Cricetulus griseus: one gene and its partner. The protein of the gene in region 2 interacts with the protein of the main gene of each other region in a pairwise test. Links are inferred from orthologs where the notes say so. Each region holds a gene or a part of one and is shown on either strand. Other genes may lie near its edges. The genes, in order: Arl2 and Tbl1xr1.

Region 1 (4,457 bases), on a different chromosome or scaffold from region 2:
CTCCTCCACCAGCAGGCTCTGCAGCTCACGCTGACAGTCCTGCATGCGCTGGCGGTCGGCGCTGTCCACAACCCAGATGAGGCCATCTGTGCTCTCAAAGTAGTTCCGCCAGTAGGAGCGTAGAGACTTCTGGCCACCCACATCCCAGATGTTCAGTTTGAATCTGGGAAGGAAGGGACAATGAAGGTCAGGCTGGTCCTGCCCACTGTGCCTTCCCCCCCCCCCCCCCAGTGGCCCTACTCACCCCCGGTGCTCACAGTGGCCCTCAGTGGTCCTACTCACCCCTGGCCCCCACACAGTGGCCCTCAGTGGCTCCCCCTCAGTGACACTACTCACCCCCGGTGCTCCAGGGTTTTGATGTTGAAGCCCAGTGTTGGGGAGATGGTGTCCACGTCTTCCCCATTGAACTTCTTGAGGATGGTGGTTTTGCCAGCATTGTCCAAGCCACTGGGACACAGAGCTAAGGAGAAGTCTCTGAGCTCTGCTGGAGGACATGTCATCATACTACCAAACTCTTAGGGACTACTGTATATTGAAACAAGTGGAGCACATGCCTGACCCATAAGTGGTTTGAGGTAATTATCATCTCGGCCAACTTAAAGTAACTTTGGTTAGCAACAAATATTAAGTGCCTATTATGTGCCAGGCCTCCTCAGGTGTTGGTGGACAAAGTCTTCACCCTTATGACACTTAAACACTAGCAAAAAAACAAAAAACAAAAAAACAAAAAACCTAAATAATGGGGCTGGAGAGGTGGCTCATCAGGTCTTGCAGAGGACTTGAGTTCAGTTCCCAACACCCACCCACATGGTGGTTCACAACCAAACCCTGACCGCTATGGGCACCGGGTGCTCAACATAGTACACATACATATATACAGGTAAAATACTTACACATATAAAGTGTAAGAAAAAAAATTAAAGACTAAATAAAGCAGACAAAGTTGGGTATCTGGGATCCCTGAAACCTGTGAGACATTCCTGAAAGGAATGGCTTTCAACTTAGGCATCAGATAAGGCTCGGTGGGGTCTTGAGACCCAATATAGATGCGCCCAGTCCTCTGAGGGACCAAGTAAGGCGCAAGTATCTAGAGGTGGCAACCACCTTCATCTGTTTCTAGAATGATCCACAGCCTCTGCTGCAGAGAACAAACCACTGGGTGAGCTCAACGGCACGTGGGAACTTGGGGTGACCACAGTCTGAATTGAGGGGTGGGAGGGAAGGGGCAAGCTCTGCATTTAGACCCTCTTCCTGCTCACCTGCAGGCCCAGTGACCCTTGAAAGGTCAGGGCACGCACTAGAAAACGCGCTAAGTCATCACCATGTCACCCGCCACGCATGAGGACTCTGGGCATGCCTGGAACCTCAGTGCCCACTCGCAGTCTTCCCTTTAAAAGCTCCAACTTTCCTGCTTCGCGCTGTCTCTCTGCTTTCTCTCTTTACGCCGCTCTCTCTTTGCTCACTCCTTCTCTGCTCTTCTCTTCTCCCACCTACGAGCTCTCTCTGCCTCTATGGCGACCGGCCATGGCGGTCAGCCATTACCCCTGTTCCTCTTCTCTTTTAGTCTGCCGGGCCATATAATAAACTAGTTAACATGTCTCATCTTGCAGCTTTCTCTTTTCCTCCTTTTAAATAAAACATAACAACCCTCTTTTGTGAGAGGGGGTGAGCAGATTACCTCTCATCAGCAGTCCAACTTTACTCTTGGAAAGCCGGCCACTGATTATCCCAACCCTTCCAACACCCACCTGCCCAAACAGAGTCAGGACCTGCTCCTCTCCAGTATTAGCAAGTGGCCAGAAACCAGGGATTCCGGCGTGGCTTCCCCTTCTCCCTCACATTTTCCTCCAGTGTAGCAGCAAGTCCTACCAGCACTACTACCCACTACTCCCTTCCTCCATCCTGCTCCAAGCCACCATCCTGTGGCCTAAATGGTCCCAGCCCATGAGGTCTCCTCCCTCTCTGTAGTCACTCTTCACTCTTTGACTTCCCTCGAACATGGTAGTCTTATCCTCCCCCAGGTCCTTTGCACTTGGAGGTCATCCCCAGACATCAATACCTTCCTCAAGTCTTTGCCCAGTACTTCTTATCTTGGCACGGTCTTTGACCACTCCGGACTACGTTCTTCTCAACCCAAACTACACATTTTATTTATTTGCTTTACAACTTCTTTCTCCTCTTCCATTATCCACAAGGAAGGCTTTTTCGTTTCCCTGTTTCACGGCATTCTCTAAATAAGTAGTAATCAATAAATAGTAATCTAATGACTGTCTTTCTCAAACTGTCTACAACTGGCACGGGTGGTAACGTTGGAAGTGCACATTAATTTACCTCTTCTCTCCCTGCCAGTTTGAGGATCACAGATGCTCAGGTGCCAGACACAACACAAGGCGGGCGATGCAGGTGCTACTTAATGCAATGGAAGGTCGGCCGGGGCCCTGAGTGACAGTTAACCTGGGACCAAGTCCACGCCTACCCTCAGGGGCCTAGGCGGTCCTCACGCCCCGGGATTCCAGCCCTGAAGGAATCGCCAGGGCCTACACGAAGGGGAGGGGGTCAGCGCTGGGGAGGAGCGGGGCCCACGTTCGAGCCAGCCCGAGACACCGTGACGTCCGGGTCACCACCACCGCGGCGCGCCTTCCTACGGCACTGGAGACCCGGGTCCAGGGCCGGCCTTCAGGACCACACCGCCGCCGTTAGCACGCAACCCCCCGCCCCGCAGAGTGGTACGGCCCGCCCCGGCCCCGCGCGGAGCAGTGGTAGCGCCGCGTGAGTGACGCACCACCGGCGGTGGGGACCCACGGCGGCCGCGCCCCCGCGCCCGGCTCCGCCCACCCGGCGGGTCCCGCTACCCTCGCGGCCGCTGGGGCGCTCTGAGGATACAGCATGAGCAGCCGCAGCTCTCGCTCTTTCTGCTTCATCTTCTTCAGAATGGTCAGAAGCCCCATGATCCCGTAGCCCCCTCCCGGCCGCCGTTTCTTCCAGTCCCGGGACCCCGCTCCAGGCTCCTATTGGCCAGTCTGGTGCTTGGTTCCGCCCTCGACACCACGTGATCACCGGGGTGCGTGGCGTCGCCCTCTAGCGAAGCGGCGGCGAATTTGCTGCCTGCTGCTTTAACCCTTCGCTTCTGAGGTTCGGAGGGGACCTGGGTAAAAATCAGCAAACCCTCCGACTCCAAGGCCTCCATCGGGGACGCGGGGCTGACATCTCGGGCTGTATCTCGTTTAGGTAGGGAGAACTCGCGAAGGGATTCTGAGCCAGGAGTCCGAACCTAGTTCCACAGGCGGCTGACAATCATCCGGGGGCCGTAAAATGGCCCGGTTCCCGCTCATTTTGTGACTTGCATTATCCACATCTGCCAGTGAGAACGGGTTGATTCTGGTCCGGGACTCTGTCGGAAATGGCTCTGTGCGTTTAGTCGAGGGTGACGATGCCCCCTAGGGGCCGTTTCGAAATGTACAGGCAGTAAGGGCTCCTTTGGGTTGTTTCAGTGACCACACAATAGTCATAGTCATTTAAAGCTCCAAGCTTCCCGCAATGCAGCGATCAGACCTGCACAAAGGATCGCCGGGAAGCTGTCAGGTTGAGAAGCTCGGGCGACCCGGGTAGTGGTGGCCTTTAATCCCAGCACTAGGGAGGAAGAGACAGGCCGATCTCTGAGTTCAAGGCCAATTTGGAGTACCTAAGAAGTTCCAGGTCAGCCAGTGCTAAGTAGAGAGAACCTGTCTTAACAAACATTGGAGCCCACTGCTGGCATGTAGTAGGTGTGTTCAGTTAGGTCGTTCAGTAAATGACTTTGCCCAAGACTTAGTTCTTTTTTGTTTTGTTTTGTTTCTTGAGACAGGGTTTTTCTGTGTATCCTTGGCTGTCCTGGAACCCGCTCTGTAAACCAGGCTGGCTTCGATCTCACAGAGATCCTCCTGCCTCTACCTCCTGAGTGTTGGGATTAAAGGCATGCGCCACCAACGCGTGGTTGGTGACACACTTTTAATCCCGGCACCTGGAAGTCAGAGGCAAGTAGATGAGGCCAGCTTAGTCTACATATCGACTAAGCCAGGGCGACATATAGTGAAACTGTTATGCCCAGATCGTGGAAACCCAAAAATCCATCACCGAGGAAGCGACACACCGATGTAAAAACACAGGTTTCTTTTTTACGATTTGCAACTCGGACCCTGCCCGTTTGGGAACAGGCTGAGTGCCGCTTTTTTTGCTGAGGGTGTTTTTTTAAAGGGAAGGTTCAAATGAATGAATGTCTTGAGATTGCAAAATTTTATGGTTACATAGGATGAAACAATAACTATGTTTAAGCAGGATGCAATTAAGCAGGATGCTGTAGAGGAAGTAAGTTTAAATTTGTTAATTATCTCCTAGGCAGGGACTTTTACAACTACAAATTGACAACTATCGGATCTTCTTTAGGACAGAGAAATGTTGACACAGTTGGAGGGTGTTAT
Region 2 (4,269 bases):
TCCCTCTTTCTAGAATCTCTCCCATCAAAGAAAGCCAACACTCCAGACTGACCACAGGGGATCAGTCTAAATGGCAGGCTGCACCTCACAACTCCTGGAGGTGGCTCAGAGTCCTTTTCCTTTAGCTCTCTGGTAAAAGGGCAATTACTTGTACTCTTACAGTCTATGACACCAAAGGCAGTTAGGTAGTAAAAGCTCCTGAGCATCAGCACTCCACAGTTTCTGTTGGTGGCAGTTCCATGGGCCTTACTACACAGCCAGCCACAGGGAAAGTCTGAGGATAAATAGTAAATGTCCGAAGCTCACTGCCTTCCTCTTCCCACTTCAGGGCTGTCCATTCTAAATGTTATTTCTGAAAATGAGTCAAATCTACATGTACCAAAAAAACAGTTCTAACCAGTGCCAAGGTTTCTTTCACCTCTCCCCTGAGCTCCAATGCATTTCTCTCTGTTTTTATATAGGTAACAAACCTAACAAATTGTTGCAACTAACTTCATCTAAATGTGCTCAATCTCCACAGTAACATTCCATTGACAAAGTCTGTGGGGAAACTCATTTGTACACAGCCTCTGACCACACTGTAGTTAGACTTACTCACCACAAGTGAGCTAGCACATTTACTCAACAGGTTGAAGCTCCAAAGGTCTACCTGGCACACCCTTTCTATCAGAAAGTCCATGTTTATATGGCAGGAGCTACCCTCCCTCTCTGCTCACCGGTTTCAAAGCTTCCTAATTCACAGGACGAATTTCTTCCTTGTTGTCTTGGCATACAGGTATCATGATAATCAATCTTGCAAAACTCTTAACTAGGTAGACTGCAAGTATCAAAGGGGTACTTACTTGGGCATATGTAAAAAGTTAAAGTGTTTGTCGGTTCTTCAACAAGTCAACACAAAATACAATCAATCTCATGGCTGGGCGGTAGCTCAGTGGCAGAGCACTTGCTTTAGGCTCAATTGCCAATATCGCCCCCAAAACACATCCAAATTAAGAAACTACTCCATCTCCTATGTTAACAACATGTACAGGTTGGAAGTGTGCTTCAAACAGAGGATGAAGGTGCAAGAATTTTTAAGTCTGTACGTAGTTAATTGGTTTGACTTTTGACACTGTTTTCTTTCCCCACAAGTTAGTGTTGGTCCTAAATACTAGAGATCTGACTCCATTCATTAAACTACACAAGAGAGGGAAAGTGACTGGAGTGTTTAATGTTTGTGATTACAGACTTAATGCCTTGCAGAACAGCAAAACTAAGACAGAAATACACTAAAGCGGCAGAGAAGCCTCGACTTGGCTGCACTCAGGGCCTGCCTGCCTAACTCCTTCCAGGCACGTTTTCGTCCTGCCACCCCTCCCCCATAGGTAAATGCCAACTGTTTCTAGAACTCTCAATGATAATTTGGGAAGGTTGCCATTAACTCCCACGTTTCAATCCAACTGATAAACAATGTTTCTGTGGAGACAAAGATGCCCTACTTCACCAGACTATAAACTTATTAAAGTGGTGAGAACATACAGTCCCAGGAAGTCGGGATTACTGAAGTACTCTAATAAGCATGGCTCTTATTTAACAAAAATGAACATGAATCACACAGGGAAACCCCAAAGTCACTACCTTCAACAGGCCATCGAGATACTTATTGCAAGTTATTTTAGCTAAGTTAAATCAGATGCTACAGCCAAGTGATTTGGGGACAGGAGGAAAAAGACGTTACTTTACATTGGTGGGGGAGCATTCAGGCTCAAGATTCAAACCAAAACACAGCATTTCACCCATCATATTTTATTAACATGTTCAGACCAGCCTAAGGTTCCTATATGGGAAACAAGAGGGCCAACAGTAAGCTTCCCTAATTTACTGTAAATGACATAGGTAGGAAAACCCTTCACCCTGGGTCTTGTGAAGTTCAAGGTTTTAAGAAATCTCCAGCCTGAGGAAAAGTCATGTTGAGCTACGTTCCAACACTTCTGTGTGATCACCAAATTATTCTCAGTATTCGGTAACCCAACAAAGAGTGAGTTTCTTAAAAGCCACCCAATCCAAATGTTACACGTGAACAGACATTTTCATAACCTAAATTTAATCCAAACTGAGAACTTCCAAAATTACTGAACACTCCGAAACATGCATGGCTCGCCTCGAGCTGCCTTTCAACATGGAATATTACACTTAAATGAAAGTCTGCCCTGTTCCAAAAAAGAAAAAGACATCGGTTGCAAAGAGGAAGTTACCCAGCAAACACTCACAACCTGGCCTCTACACTGTCAGAAAGATAATGTGACTTGTGTGCCACCCCGAAACTTACCAGGAAGCTGGCAATAAGTTTGCCAACTGTATACACTTCTGACCCAACTTTACCGAGACTGTGGCCAGGGCCTCCTTGTGGAGGGGCCACAGAGACAAGGTAACCACACGCGCGTCCCGAGTGAGCGAGACCCGCCCGCGCCCTCCCCCCGCCGCACCCCAACAGCCGCCCGCAGCCCCCGCCGCTGCCCGGAGGCTCCGCGCGGCGGGGCCCAGAAGGGAGCGCGACCGGGTGACTGCAGCCCGCGCGCCCCAGCGCGGACGGGCGCCCATCCCAAGCCCAGCCCGCTCCCCCGCTAAGCGAGCTTCGAGCGGCTGCGGCCCCGCATCCAGCCTGCGCCCCCACGCCCGCTCGCCAAGGCGAGTGCCTCCCGCAGCCCGGCCACCCGGACCCGGGAGGGGGGGCGGCACGTGAGCGCGGCCGCCCCTCCCCCGCGCCCAGGCCAAGTTCGCAGCGCCCGCCGCCCCGGGCCCGCGCTCACCTGCCTGGCGACGCTGTCCCCTCCCGGATGCGCGGCGCTCCCCTCCTGGCCGCCGTGGGCACCCTGAGGCGCCCTGGGGTGCTGGCGCTGACAGCCGGGCGGCGGGTCCGGCGGGGGAGGGGCGCGGGGCAGGGCGCAGCACCGAGGCAGGAGGGGAGCTGTTACTAAGGGAGAGAGCCAAGCGCGCGAGCGGCCAACGGCTCCGGCTCGGCACCGGGGAGCGCGGGGACCAGCCAGGCACAAATGAGCTCCGGGCCCGCGGCGGCGGCGGCGGCGGCGGCGGCGGCCCGCACAGCAAAACAAACCCGAGCGGCCTGCGCCCGGCGCGCGGGGAGGGAGGAGGGAGCGAGGAGGGGGATGGAGGGGAGGGGAGGACGACCCGTGTAGGGGGAGGGGAAGGGCGCCGGGAGGGGTGGGGGAGGGAGGAAGTGAGGAGGACCCCGGAGGAGGAGGGGAGCCTGGGAGGAGGAAGGGAGGGAGAGGAGGCAGGGGGGGAGGGGAGCCTGGAGGAGGGGTGGGGAAAGAGAACGTGGAGGGGGAAGGGAGCCTGGAGGAGGAAAGGCGAGGGGGAAGGGAGCCTGAGCCTGGGAGGGGGAGGGGAACCTCGAGAGGGAGGGAGGGAGGGAGGATGAGGGGAGGAGCGCTGGGGGGAAGGGACGCGCCGGAGGGGCGGGGCCCCAACGGAGGCAGCGAGGCGGTGGGGGTGGCGGCCGGCTCGCGGCTGCACTCTCCGCTTCCTCACTTGCTCTGCTTTCCCTCCACCCACCCTCCCTCGCTCCCAGGCGGCGCTGGGGGTTGGGCTCCCGGAGCGCATTCGTTCCAGAGCCGGCAGCCTGGGCTGTCCCGCGGACTGGGTGGCACTCGGGTCCCCTGCCTCCTGATTCCCAGAGGCAGGGGGCCGGTGAGGGAGCGCGGAGCGGGCTCCGGATGGGACATCGCGGGCAAAGCGTCGCTCACTCCGTTGCGTGTAAACACGCCTGCTCGGAAGTGTACCTGGAAAGGTGCTTATCTGCAGGGAGCGAGTGGCAGGATGGGGGACCCGAGCACCGCGCGTGGGGGAGGCGCGCACACGGAGAGAAGGGGTTTGGTGCTATTTCAAAGCTGTAATTGAAGTATGTGTGCCCAGTTGTGCCACTTGTCTTCTGGGTCTCTTGGGAAGGTTTGGTCGATCAGTTCACATTGCGCAAAAATAAAGTCATAAACTGAATGAATGTTCACTAAGTATGCACCGGGGTGTGGCTTCCACCGGAGTTTATCTCCTACTTTTCTGCATGCGTGTGGCACGTGAAGGCGGTTTCAGAAGTACCCCTCGGCTCCTCAATAATGTCACATTGTGACTGGGGGAGTGCTGAGAGCTTGTGTTTTGTTTTTTAAGGAAAACATTTTTAAGCACTGCGTTGACCTTCCTGAGCTTTTCAGAAACCTGGAGTGTAAGAAACAGCCTTCCTTTGAATTCTAACATATAACTTGAAACTCTGCT

The links.
Region 1: the proteins of Tbl1xr1 (region 2) and Arl2 interact in binary tests that used the Homo sapiens proteins (3 or more experiments, as listed by UniProt). The two-hybrid records come from large-scale screens. The link is inferred for Cricetulus griseus from reciprocal best matches to the Homo sapiens genes TBL1XR1 and ARL2.

Annotation. Positions count from the first base shown.
Region 1 is NC_048596.1:53,198,041-53,202,497, reverse strand, and holds the start of Arl2 (ADP-ribosylation factor-like protein 2), read right to left. Parts: upstream 3,087-4,457; 5' UTR 2,949-3,086; coding exon 2,884-2,948; intron 448-2,883; coding exon 337-447; intron 164-336; coding exon 1-163. UniProt on the Homo sapiens protein: Small GTP-binding protein which cycles between an inactive GDP-bound and an active GTP-bound form, and the rate of cycling is regulated by guanine nucleotide exchange factors (GEF) and GTPase-activating proteins (GAP).
Region 2 is NW_023276806.1:126,368,515-126,372,783, forward strand, and holds the start of Tbl1xr1 (F-box-like/WD repeat-containing protein TBL1XR1), read right to left. Parts: upstream 3,068-4,269; 5' UTR 2,790-3,067; intron 2,446-2,789; exon of another isoform or gene 2,309-2,445; intron 1-2,308. UniProt on the Homo sapiens protein: F-box-like protein involved in the recruitment of the ubiquitin/19S proteasome complex to nuclear receptor-regulated transcription units. Plays an essential role in transcription activation mediated by nuclear receptors.